Linked DNA regions of Oryzias latipes. The protein of the gene in region 2 binds, or shares a complex with, the protein of the main gene of each other region. Links are inferred from orthologs where the notes say so. Each region holds a gene or a part of one and is shown on either strand. Other genes may lie near its edges.

Evidence for each region.
Region 1: lamtor4 (region 2) and lamtor2 share a complex: the UniProt entries of both Homo sapiens proteins name them as parts of the ragulator complex. The link is inferred for Oryzias latipes from reciprocal best matches to the Homo sapiens genes LAMTOR4 and LAMTOR2.
Region 3: lamtor4 (region 2) and flcn share a complex: the UniProt entries of both Homo sapiens proteins name them as parts of the lysosomal folliculin complex. The link is inferred for Oryzias latipes from reciprocal best matches to the Homo sapiens genes LAMTOR4 and FLCN.

What each region holds. Positions count from the first base shown.
Region 1 is NC_019874.2:28,619,987-28,624,535, forward strand, and holds the start of lamtor2 (ragulator complex protein LAMTOR2), read right to left. Parts: upstream 3,133-4,549; 5' UTR 2,987-3,132; coding exon 2,919-2,986; intron 2,303-2,918; coding exon 2,140-2,302; intron 1,190-2,139; coding exon 1,100-1,189; intron 1-1,099. UniProt on the Homo sapiens protein: As part of the Ragulator complex it is involved in amino acid sensing and activation of mTORC1, a signaling complex promoting cell growth in response to growth factors, energy levels, and amino acids.
Region 2 is NC_019881.2:23,887,676-23,891,044, reverse strand, and holds lamtor4 (ragulator complex protein LAMTOR4), read right to left. Parts: upstream 1,761-3,369; 5' UTR 1,655-1,760; coding exon 1,652-1,654; intron 1,579-1,651; coding exon 1,495-1,578; intron 1,433-1,494; coding exon 1,288-1,432; intron 1,223-1,287; coding exon 1,125-1,222; 3' UTR 764-1,124; downstream 1-763. Other genes in the region: ADP-ribosylation factor 4, read left to right, coding at 228-314. UniProt on the Homo sapiens protein: As part of the Ragulator complex it is involved in amino acid sensing and activation of mTORC1, a signaling complex promoting cell growth in response to growth factors, energy levels, and amino acids.
Region 3 is NC_019874.2:19,461,812-19,466,437, forward strand, and holds the start of flcn (folliculin), read right to left. Parts: upstream 3,133-4,626; 5' UTR 3,063-3,132; exon of another isoform or gene 2,945-3,062; intron 2,807-2,944; coding exon 2,594-2,806; intron 2,126-2,593; coding exon 1,979-2,125; intron 1,902-1,978; coding exon 1,680-1,901; intron 1,602-1,679; coding exon 1,435-1,601; intron 1,328-1,434; coding exon 1,236-1,327; intron 1-1,235. Other genes in the region: leng9 (leukocyte receptor cluster member 9), read left to right, coding at 3,643-3,775, 4,609-4,626. UniProt on the Homo sapiens protein: Multi-functional protein, involved in both the cellular response to amino acid availability and in the regulation of glycolysis.

The DNA.
Region 1 (4,549 bases), on a different chromosome or scaffold from region 2:
TGAAATAAACCAATAAGTCAAATCAAAATGAAATTACCGTTATATATATATTTTTAACATTACAGATAAATACTCTACTAGAAGTCGGCACTTCCTGAATGGATCAGGACGTTTTATTGTCGTAAAGCGGAGCAGGAATACGCCACCAGGAGGCGCACAAACACAGTTCGGGAAAGTTAACCAGTTGTTCACAGATTCAGACTTCCTGACACAATAAGTACGGTATATCAAACATTTTATACTGACAGCAAGTGTCTATATTGGCTCATCTTAACTTACCAACGACTTACAAAGACTGTAAATAGTAAATAAATAAAAATTGCTCTTTTTTTCATTCTTTTCAAGAGAATGAAACTGATGGTGGGCTGATAAGGGACCGCCTACAAAGTGCAAGTTCTGGGAAAAATAGACCAAGATAAATAAATACATAATAATAATAATAATAATAATAATAATAATAAAAATACTAACGATTAGTCAATGGTTCTGTTGAAAGTCACAAATACTCATCATAATTATGCTACAACGATGAATTTGGAAATTGATTATTTGATATTATAACAGGGAAATGAATCACATCTGATCAAAAATGTTCAACAGTTCTGAAGATGTTAAGGCTACAGTCACCAAACTTTCTCATAGGGCTAATTAACCTATTTTGACTAGTTAACTATTAACAAGTTTGTACTAGTTTATAGTTAACTATTTTTTCTATTTGATAATTGCATTACTTTTCCTTGATTGTTGAAGATACTTCCCAGAAGTGCTCTGTTTACGTGTAAAATGCTAAAAGAAGCTTAATAAAATTTTAAAAATTTGGAAAATGTTGATCTGTTTATTAAGTTTGTCATTTTTTTTTGGATGTGCTACGACAGTAACAGATCGGAACTCGGTATCGGCAGCAACTCCAAATCCAATAACTTGGAATCGGAATTTGATCTGAAATATGCTTCACTTCCACTAAACTACATAGAGGAGAGTGAATGAATAAACGAGTGAATAAATGTCCTTGGTTGAACTGAACTTGTGGGGTCAGGAATCGGGACTCGTTGAGGAACCACAGCTGATGAAGACCCATGTGAGGAAGCAGCGCCCTCACCTTTGCTTTCAGCATCCCGAAGCCCACCGTCTCTTTGGCGTACATGCAAAGCAGCAGGTTAGCCACATGCGTTATGGCCACTCTCCCTTCCTGAGAAAAAAAAAAAAAGCCTTTTTATTGGTCGAGTCCAAAGACTAAAAGTCACTTTTCTTTACAGGTTGTAACTTCCAATCATAAATCCACTAAGTCAGATGGATTTCTCACAGAACACTGCTTTGCTGTTAGTTTGCGATGCTCAGATTTACGACAGTATTTATGTAAGCCTGACCTTCACTCAGTTCAGCAGCTCTCAGCTAATGTGCAGACATGAATTATTACTGAATAAGGGGCGATGAGGCGCAAATCGAACTGAATCACAGGTTTGAAAGAATGGATCTCAGCTTTTTTTATGCGACCAAATGCAGCAGGTTTCCCCTCCATCTACAGAGCAAGACTCTCCACAAAGCCCCTCCTCCTAAGGCAGAGTGGGGGTTTTACTGTGTGGATTCGCTGATTTTCGGGAATTAAGTTAAACATTTTGCCTCAGAGCTGGAAGTTAGAAATAAGAAAATCATCTGGTTGTTTGCATGAGCGAAGATTATTTATGTATCATGAGAAAAATGATGCAGGACGTTGACACGTTTGACTTGAGCAATGTTTACAAAACTGTAGAGCGGGGCAAAAAAAAATGGGCAAGGAGTACAAGGAGTGTGTGTTTGGTGTCTTCCTGTGGTGCTATTGGTATCAAGAGCCAGCTCCTTCCATATCTGAAGGTTTGCTCAAGTCCCATTATTCATATTTTGTACAACATTAAAAGAGCCATTTGGTCCCGTTTGAAACAGACCAGACTGAACAGGTGCCACCATGTATGCATGCTAAAGCAAAACTACAAACACATTATTTTATTTAAATAATACACATTTTTTCTTTAAAGTCACAATGGAGGGGGAAAAAAAACAGCTGTGATGCCTCAAATTGCAGACCCCTTCAGAGATGTTGGGGCATTCATAGAATCTAACTTCAACAAAAGGGCTGAAGGAAAACAAGGAGAAAGTTCCCACCATGCAGTCCATGAGGATGAACTTGAGTTTGTCCTCGTTGAAGGCCTGGTGGCCGTTCTTGTCGTAGGCGGCCCAGATGTTGCTGGCGATGGCAGCGGTCACTCGAGCGTCTGTGTCGCCGTAACCGGAGTACGCCAGGAGGGAGCCTTCGTTGTTCAGTAGGCTGCTCGCACAGAGAGACGGTTGTTCATTACACACAAAAACAACACAATGATGAAAAGTTACAGTGACAAAGTTTTAAGACAAACGCCATTCCGTTTTCAAACCATGAAAACCAAGTAATTTTGTCAGGAGGTCTCCAGGACAGAAATTGATCGATTGATGCAAAATGGCTAAAACGATGAACAGATCTATATCAAACAGATCTACATCAAACATTACAGATTACTTATTTTCCCACACCACTTTTTAAATGTAAATCGATTTTTTTTGCTTTTTTTCTACCTGATAATGATATTTTGTACCCTGAACAGACTTTCTAAGCAAAAATAAAAACGAACCAAATATATTTTAAAAAGACTCTTATTTTGAAATCAAAATTCAACTGCTTGAAATTCGTGTAAAACTGTATTTGATTTAACAGCGGAAAACAAATCTTGAAAAAATATATTTGTATTTATTGCAATAAATAATGAAAATGTAAAAGTAGTATTAAGTTGGTGAAGTAATAATTATATAAACGTGTCGTTTCAGGGGAGCTTTAAGAGTTCTAAGGAGCTAGACGCAAACAAACCGCTGCTAGCTAGCTGGATGTTAGCCTGCTAGCTCGCGGTACTCACAGGGTGCTCTGGACGCCGTTCGTGTTCGCCTGGCTGAGAACTTGCGTCAGCGCTTTGGGTCGCAACATGGCCGACCTCTCTCAGGAGAAAAAACCCAGAAAAATGATCTGACTGAATAAACACGGGGCTTAAAAAAGAAGAGAGAACTGCTCAATAACAGAGCAAAGTCAGCTGACTCGATTCTTCTTCTGTTTCCTTTTCCGGTACATTTAGAGATGCATCATGGGAATTGCAGTTATATCCAAATACATGTTTCCTATTTATATTTATTATGTTTTTCTTTAAACTTTATTTTTAAATTTTTAATTATTCCTGATTTTTTCACAAATCTTTTTGTTTTAAATTACTTTCCCATGTAGTCTGTAAACATTTTTGAGAACTGGAATATGGCCATTCATTCATCTTCCTCCGTTTTGTCCATTTCTGGGTCACGGGGCTGCTGGAGCCTATCCCGGCCACTTGTGGGTGAAGGCAGGGGACACCCTGGACAGATTGCCAGTCTGTCGCAGGGCCACAATCACACTCCCATTCACACTCACACCTATTAGAGCTGCTAGAATATGACCAGTTCTTTGGAAATGTATCATGGGAAATATAGTTTGCTTCAGTGAACGACGAAAACTTCACCTCCTTGATTCATCTCCTTTGTCATATTTAGAGTTTTTATCTCAAAGATTTTATGCTTCAAAGAAGTGTACTTTTTATTCTACTTCAACCAAAGAAGTGTTATTTAAATCTTTTGACACTCCTCCTTACAGTAAAGGTTAGTCTGCTTTGAGGTTTTTATTGTCTGCTGGCTTCCTGGTGGGAGGACATGTTTGCGCAAAGTGTTTGGCAGAATCGTTTCCCTCCTGCCCTTTGGACATCAGAAAAAGTGATCGGGCCGAGGATATTATTGTTTTTTTTTTGTCTGTAAGAAGAGGATTTTGTTCTAAGAGGTAAATCTGTTGTGTTTGAGTGGACACACTTATAAAAAAGACACAAACCAATCATTTGTATAAACAAAAGTTGATTTGATTCCATGCTGTAACTGCTATGGTACATGAGTGCATGGTTAATATGTATTCTCTGATATGTGTTTTGGTAAAATTATAGTCACACAAGTGCATCCGTTTACAGTTTTGTTTATACCGTCAACCATTGAAAGCTACAGACGTGGTGTAAAATCAGAGAGGATGTAGTCTCATTTTGGCAGAAGGAAATAAACACATTTCCTTCTAGATATGTGACAAAAAAGTTAACTCTTTAAATTTATAGTAAAACTCTTTGAGGTCATTCTGACACCTCTGAAGTTTAGATGAAAGGTCAAAAAATCAGTTTTTTCTATTCTAGTCTCTGCAACTGAAAGGACAAATGATGATGACGAATAAAAGTGTCTTTTGGAGAAAAGAAATTACAAAAAAAATCTAATCAGTATGTACAGTGTGGCTGCAAGAAAGGCTAAATATCACCAATTTTAAAAAGAGTATGAATTTGCAAAACTTTGAGTGAATACTAATACACCTTTATAAAATGGCAGAAAATACATTTTATTTCATTATCAGAACATTAACCCTTGTGCTATCATAGGCACTTTAACACAGAGAGTTAGGTCATGTAGACCCACTAGAAGTGCTCTGAACCTTTTTTCT
Region 2 (3,369 bases):
GGGGGGGATCTTAAGCAGACGTGGGTCAGAACCGCTCCACCCCTTTGGCCCCCTGACTCATGGAGCCAGAACCATGGGGGGGGGGGGGGGGCTTAAGCAGACGTGGGTCAGAACAGCTCCACCCCTTTGGCCCCCCTGACTTATGGAGCCAGAACCATGGGGGGGGATCTTAAGCAGACGTGGGTCAGAACCGCTCCTCCTGACATGTGTGTGTTTGTGTGTTGCAGTGGCACGTCCAGGCCACCTGTGCCACTCAGGGGACCGGTCTGTACGAGGGGCTGGACTGGCTGTCCAATGAGTTGTCCAAACGCTAAGCAGCTGACTGATGATGTCACCGTGTACAGAGGAAGAGGAGGAGCCTTCCGCCAGACTGTTCCTGTTTTTTTTTTCTTTTTTTAAATTATAGCTGTAGAAGGAAGTGATGTCACAGACTCTGAGGTTTCCCATCATCCTCTTCTTCTTCTGCCGGTGTTTGTTCTTTTATGCGCATGTTTTAAATCCAGATCATGTGACAGGATGTTTTGGGAGAGGGGTGGGGCTTGGGGCAGGTGAGAGCTACCTGGGCAGGTGACGAGTCATTCCACAGCCGGACCGGCGCCCCCGTCATTCCTGCCTAATGTGAAGAAGAGATGAAGAAGATGACGCAATAAAGCTTTTTCTTGTCACGCTGGTGGGCTTTGTTCTGAACCAGAACCTGCAGACTCTAGACCAGACCGGTCTCAGAACTGAATCTGGTTAAGGATCAGACAAACTTCAGGTTTTCGTATGTTTATTTGAATCAGTTTTCAAAACATTAAAACTTTATTTAAATGACAAGTTCTGACAGAAAATCTGGTTTCTTTGGGAGATGAAGATTTTATTTCAGAATCCAAAACATGCAGCAGAACCTTTGCAGGATCGGTCTTCCGCTCTGCCTTCAGAACCACTGTAGCTGACCTTGTTCTGTAAAGGTCCAGAACCTAAACGTAACTGGGTTCTGTCCAATGATCCAAACAGAACCGAAACTGTTTAGAGAACTTGCTCCAGTTCTGTGCGATTGGTGGGTCACATCAGTTCATTACTGAGCAAGTCGGTTCCGACTCGGTCCAAAGGTGGACTGTCGTCCTCTCCGCCTGGCCCCGCCTTCACGCTGTGACGTGCTCAGGATGCGCGTGCTGACGTTTGACCACAAACACCTTCTGACCGGAAACGGTCACCGCCAAGACGAAGTCCTCCAGAACCACTGCGAACAGAACCGAGTCAGGGCGGGGCATCACCAGCCGAGCTCACCTGTCAGGTGTGACTTACCGGACATGCGCTTAAACGGGACGTCCTCGGATCCGGGTGACCGGAAGTGGTCCGCAGATCCAGATAACCGGAAGCGGTTCGCGGTCCGGACCATCTGCATTATGACGCTCGCCGTGTGCTCGTCGTTCTCCAGCTCACCTGCCGACTGCACAGGTGAGCCTGCTCAGGTTCGGTTCGGTAACAAAGCTGGGCCCGGATACTACTTACCGCCAGAACTCCGTCCTCGCTGATCACCAAGTACCCGAGCTGGTCCGGGATCCGGTCCAGACCCGCCGTCAGCGCCGCCGTGCTCTGCACACAACACACGTGAGGTTCGGTGAGGTTCGGTTCGGAAAAGCGGCACGGAGACAGAGAGCGAACTCACCATTCTTCCGGAAGATGATCCTTCACGTGACTGCTGACGTAGGCTGGTGGGCGGTGCCTTTCAGGCCTTCCAAGCGACTTCCGGTCTGTTTCGCTACACTTCCTGTTTACTTAGTCAATAGTTTTCTTCTATCTGAGCATGTATTGATTATGGGGTAGATTCTATGTAGACGTTTGTAGCAGACGTCTCTCATCTTGTTATTAATTAATCATTTCTGATTCAGGGTCCAAACATTTTTCCAGGACGAGTCAGGAATAAATGTTCTCCAATAGAAAACAGCAGAGGAACAGAAATGACGTTTAGCTGAAACACGGATGATCTTGTTATTCTTTAGTTGAAACAAGATTTTCCAACATTAGTGTCACTTAGAGACATGAAGGGAATATTTGCATCAAGTACAGTATTTTTAAAGAGTTCACAGATTCAGTAGGAACGGCGTCCCCAGTAGGATATTATTGTCAAACCAATGATTGTAAAATAAAGATTTGTTCTTGTAAAGGATATCTCTGTTATTCCAAATAAAAAACTTATGAGGAGAAAAGTTGTGTTTATAGATAAGAAAGAAGAATCTGTGAAAAGCAGAGATTTTCACTGGGATTCTGTCGATATTATAATCACAAAGCAGAAGAAAATGGAGAAAAGCTACTTTAGCAAACATGTGACGAGGGAAAATATTCCAAATGGAGAGTGGATTTTTGAAATATCATCCAGTTTATTTTAAAAGTATTATTTAAAGTAGTAAGATCAAGAAAATTTAGGCCTCCTTTTTCATAGGAGTTCATTAATACAGATTTTTTAAATAATGAATCCGGTTTTTCCAGATGAAGTTTAGCAGCATTTGATCAATAGATTTCAGAGTCTGATTGTCCAGAATTAGTCAGTCTAGAAATCCCCTCTGCTGTGGAGAGTGAATCCTTCCTCAGACTCTGGTCTCTCTGAAGCCTTTGGTTCAAACGTTTTTTGGCTTCATCAATGAGGGGGAGGGAAATTTAATGAGCATCTTTCTAAACTACTTTTGGAAATATTAACGCCTAAATATGTTACAGTTTCTATTACAGGACTGTTGCAGATTCTAAAGCACAATCTTCAACAGAAAGAAGTTCTTATTTGTTCAGACTGAGACGTAGACCTGAGACATCAGAGACAGACTGGATACGGTTCAGAGATCAGGAAACCTGACTGCTGTCTCTGAAGAAGAGAGTCGTGTCATCAGCAAACTGACTCATTAACATTTCTTTATTAAGAACTGAGACGCCTTTTAATTTATGAATATTGATACAATCAGCAAGAGTTTGGGTAACTAGAAGAAAAAGATACGGTGAAATAGGACCCCCCCCCCCATCTGATTCCTCTATTGGGATTGAATCTGGGGGGGGGCATTTTTTAGTTTGACAGAACAGTTAGCATTAGCATACAGAGTTTTAACTGTATTACAGAAGAAATGTATGAAGACAGCTGAAGATAAAATGATGATTAACAGAGTCAAACGCTTTATAAAAGTCTAAAAAGAGAATCAACTGTCATCAGAGATCAGGTGTGAGGAATCTAGAATATCAAGAACTAGACCAATGTTATTGGAGATGTGTCTGAATCCTGATTGTGTCTCTGCAATAACTGAGTTTAGAACAGATTTAAGTCTCTTTGCAAAGACAGATGCAAGAATCTTGTAGTCATTATTTAATAGATATACGGGACGCCAGTTGTCAATGAGAAGTCCA
Region 3 (4,626 bases), on a different chromosome or scaffold from region 2:
ATGAGCCAAATGTGGCTCTTTAATCCCTATTTTGTGGCTTTTTGGCTTTGAAGAAAAACGGTTACAATTTATATAAATAAAGAGTTTTAGTTCTTGTTGATTTGTTTTGGTTATTTTGGTCACTTAGGTTTAGATTTTTAATACATGTCCAGGTGCTGCTCAGAGACAATGTTCTTAAATTATATAAAGTCCAACTGCATTTACATATATAGATTTGTAAAAACAATTGGATTCTACGTCATTATCATGTATTGAATAGTGAAATGAAATAAACAGGATGAAGGTATACCACAGTCATAATAACAGAAAGCACCATGTTTGACTTGACTTTCTTGCATTTTAATTTAAGTAAATCTGCTGCAGCAGGGGGGGTTGTCATTTTATTTTGAAAGGACTTTTTAATGTGCAGCTGTCAAAAGTAAAGTGATGTAATTCTATTCTTGTACATAATTAAATCTAATTTCATAGATAAATGGCTTAATGGGCACAAAAAACATAAATAAAGTTTATTTTTGTAAAACAGTGGGACTTCTCGGTGGGTTTTGGTCAGTTTGAAGTTGGACCAAATGTCTCTTTAACCCTTAAAGGTTGCAGACCCCTGAACTAAATAAAAGACCCAATTTGTTTTAAGGCAATACATTTTGAATATCTTGTTGAGTAAGTTGATCTCGAAAACATCTCGTTTTTATATGAATATCATTAATAAAACACATTTTTTCCTCTTTATATAATATTTTTCAGTTGAAGTTTTATTTGTCTGGTGAGTGGTTTTGTTTCATATGTGTTTTTTAAATAATCCTTAATACAAATGGATCTTAAAATGTGTAATTCTAGTCTTATTTCAGGATGATTTGTTGGACTGTTGCTTGACATAAGACATATTTGGGGGGGAAGAAAAGTGTACAAATATACCTACTTTATAGGTATAAAACTTTTTTTTAAGAAAATCAGGCTTAGTTCAAGACCTAATATTTCCCATTTTAAGAGCAATAAACCTAAATATGAGTATTTATAGCTAAAGTCATCATTTAATTAGTCTTAAAAAGGGCGGGAGATCAAAACTTTTTTGAGAAATCTTACCAAGACAAATTCTACTAGTTCCATAGGCAGATTTTTTTCTTTTATAACAAGGGAAAGGCATCCTATATTTTATATATTTCTTATTTGTTTTAAGAAGGAAATCTTCTAGTGTGATCAGACACAAACAGTTTTGTAGCCCTGGACGTCATGCTTACCTGTTCGTCTTTCTATAAGCACCAGTGTGTCCTCTGTGGGGGCACCTTCAAGAAGCTTCTCCGTCAGTCGGCTCCCACAGGCTTTTAGCAACCTGCAGAAAGAAGGGTGTGAAGACCCAAATCATTATTGACAGCTGAGAAGCTACAAATCAGCCTAAAGGGGAGTAATGACAGAGTGACGCCGGGTCAACTGTCTCACCAGCTAAAAGAAGAGTGCAGGCTGGCCCAGAGATTGGGATGCTGTGTGAGAGAGGTCAGTGATCGGGCGGCGTTCCCACTTCTTTGGTGTGGAAAGACTGCGGGGGAAAATGCATTGTTGATCCGCATGGCTCGATGAGGGCAAACCCCCTGCTCACTGTCAAATACCTAATAAAAGAAAAATGTGTTCGGTCAATTAAGCTCAATACAGAATCAACAAAGGGGTTGTTTGTTTTTGTGGCCTACTTTTAGAGCTGTGCTCTGCAGGCTGTGTATGGTGAGCTTTAGGTGACGTAACAGGAAAGGCCAAGAATTGATGAGGTAGATCCTGTCCATGGCTACAATAACGATGCTGTACCAACGCTGGAATCCTCTGGCCAGGCTGTCTTTAATAAAAAAGGTGTGCGAAAACACAAACCCCTGTTGCTCGTCTCCAAAAAATATCGGTCCTTCACGTCCAGGACACACCTGAGGCAAAAACAGAGAAAACTGGGTCGGAAATTAGGGCCAAAAATGAGAGCAGACATCGTTTAAGCAAAGTTTACCTCACAGCTGAGGCTGCGTACACAGGCTTGGCGCACCATGCTAAAAAGCTGCGGCTGCCTGGGATGCTGATGGCTCAGAAATCGAATTCCTGTTTCATCATCGAAGCTCACAAAGCCAGGGTGAGATGCAGGCAGAGATCTGCATCCCTAAGAAGGTGTTAAAGAAAAAGAAAAAAACAGAAAATGACATGTGGGAAATGGATTACCAGCCGATAAGTTCTCTTTAGAGACCCACTCCAATGAAAATTATGTTTCTGTTGTTTTTAACGTGTGTTTGTGCCATTTTTCTGATGATAGAATGTATAAAGAAAATTAAGCTTCAAATTGCCTCTCTGCGTATTTCTGTATTCGTCTTCAGTCTTTGCTTTCCTCGTCCAAACTGTACGGCTGGTTAGCTCCAATATTGGTCGGCATTTTGTTGCACAGGGAATGTTAGAATGGGGGTCAATTACAGGGGCCGTAAACAAGTAAACAAACAGGCTTGCATGCAGGCTTACTACCAACCCCCCCCCCCCAACAGCACAATCATAATTAAAAGGCCACTGGGAACGTTTTGAAAATAGATGATCGGAGTGGGACTTTAAGGTCCAGGTGCCAAGAGCGTGATAAACTGACCTCACACATCTCTCCTCTAGGTGTAGTAGAGCTGTTGGCCCTCATGGTGAGACCTTCACCCTCACGGTCCCCATCTCTATCTCTGTCTCCTGGCACCGGGGTACCAGTCTGGGAGGACGGGTCTGGGGATGGGGGATGCAGGGCTTCTGTGCAGAAGAGGGTCCGGGGGCCATGGAGCTCACAGAAGTGACACAGAGCTACCAGCGCATTCATCTGAAATGGAGAACACACGAATCCATCAATAATTTAACATTCATTGCCGTTTTGACTACAAACAGATATTTACAGGTAGACTGTATGTCTCCTAACAGTTTGTGACGTTACAAGTCAATCATAGAGAGTTCTTCTTACCTTCAGCGGAGTCGAGCTAAATGCTGCTCAAAACGACTTTTATGGAACAGCCATGGCTTTTTAGTTTAAAAATACAAAAAACATGTTTCGGGTCGTTTTTTTAAACTAAAAAACTCACCAATAAGTCAACAAGTTACGCTTTTCGTTTGTCACCGGGAACTGCTAGCAAACAACAACAGAAGGGTCACATGACGCGGAGTCACGCGCTCGAGCAGAAATGATGCGTCTAAGCAAGTTTTATGTTCATTGGCACTCTTGGACCTCAAATTCTTGACGTTTGAAAATGTAAATAAATTCTCCAATTATTTTTCTTTAAAAATTTACGATTACATTCCTGAAATCAAGAATCATTTAGTCAAAAATAAGACTAGTCGATTGAACACTAACTACATTACCCATAGGTCCACTCGAGACTGAGGTCAAAGTACATTTGAGTTGGAAGTCTGCATTTTCTTACTAGTCTGCTTAAATGTCAAAATATGTGACCGTGGTTTTGATTTTTGAGTGCGTTTAAGTATATCTGCTTTTTGTAAAAACAATAATATTTCTAAAATTGTTTATTTTTAATCGCCAAAAACTAGACACTTCCGTGTGTTCCCACACACAGTAAAGAAAACCGGGTGTGTCCAGTTTATTTTTACTGACCAGTCAAAGGTAAAACTACCTCAACGAGGCAACAGGGCCCTTCATTTGTGACCATGGCGTCCCGTGGGACAGGGGCTCCCACGTTTTCACCTGAGGGCCAGGTAGATGGTGGCGGGACCCTCACAGAACCAACCAATAACCCAACTGTTGGAACAGCTGACACCCAGAAGCCCACTGATGTCGATGGTAACACCATATTTTTATGTGTTTTTAACATGTATGTACTTATTGCTGTTAATCTAATTGGTTAATCTAAATTGGTATGTTGTTCAAATCTAATTAGGATTTTAGGGGAATCAAACTCCATGCCAGATTATTATTAGTATTATTTTTTAGAAGCTATCAGCGTTCAAGTCATCAATAGCAGTGTTTCTGGGAAGGAATTTGTTCTGACAGCGTGTTTGTGTGAGCCTCTGGCCCTTTAAAAGGGAGCAGAATGCAGTGGACCCCCAGCCCCTCACTTCCTGCAGTGTTCATGTCCTGGAAACATGTCTGGGTTTTTAGCAAGTGAGTCAGGACTGAAGACTCCCACCTCCAGAGACTCCCACCTCCAGAGACGGAAAGGAATCGGTGTCTGCTCCCACTCCCACCCCTACTCCCCAACCTTAAGTCACAAGGAAATTTCCTCAGAACAGACAAACCTCCCTGCTGCTTTCAGTAAACTGTAATATCAGAAGGGAGTTTAATAACTTCAGCGTCGGGGAGAGTCAGCTTTCCCATTATTGTACGGGGGATTAGGTTATTACCACCTGTTGTTTACTCTCTGATTAGTGCACTGGAGATGAATTATGAGGTCCATGTCTATGGAAGGGTTAGAACAATCAAATATAATATCATTTATGTCAGGGCGAGGAATGCAGAGGAGCAGATTTAATCATTTGTGACGCACAGACTGATCTTTGTGTGGATGCCAAGAGCAACAATAATGACCATATGAGTTTTCAAATGAAAAATCTGATCAGTTCGTTTTTTAGTCTTGACTGCATATGTTTTCCTGTTATCTTTGCTGTGATTTGCAGACTTGGCAGAGCTGAAAA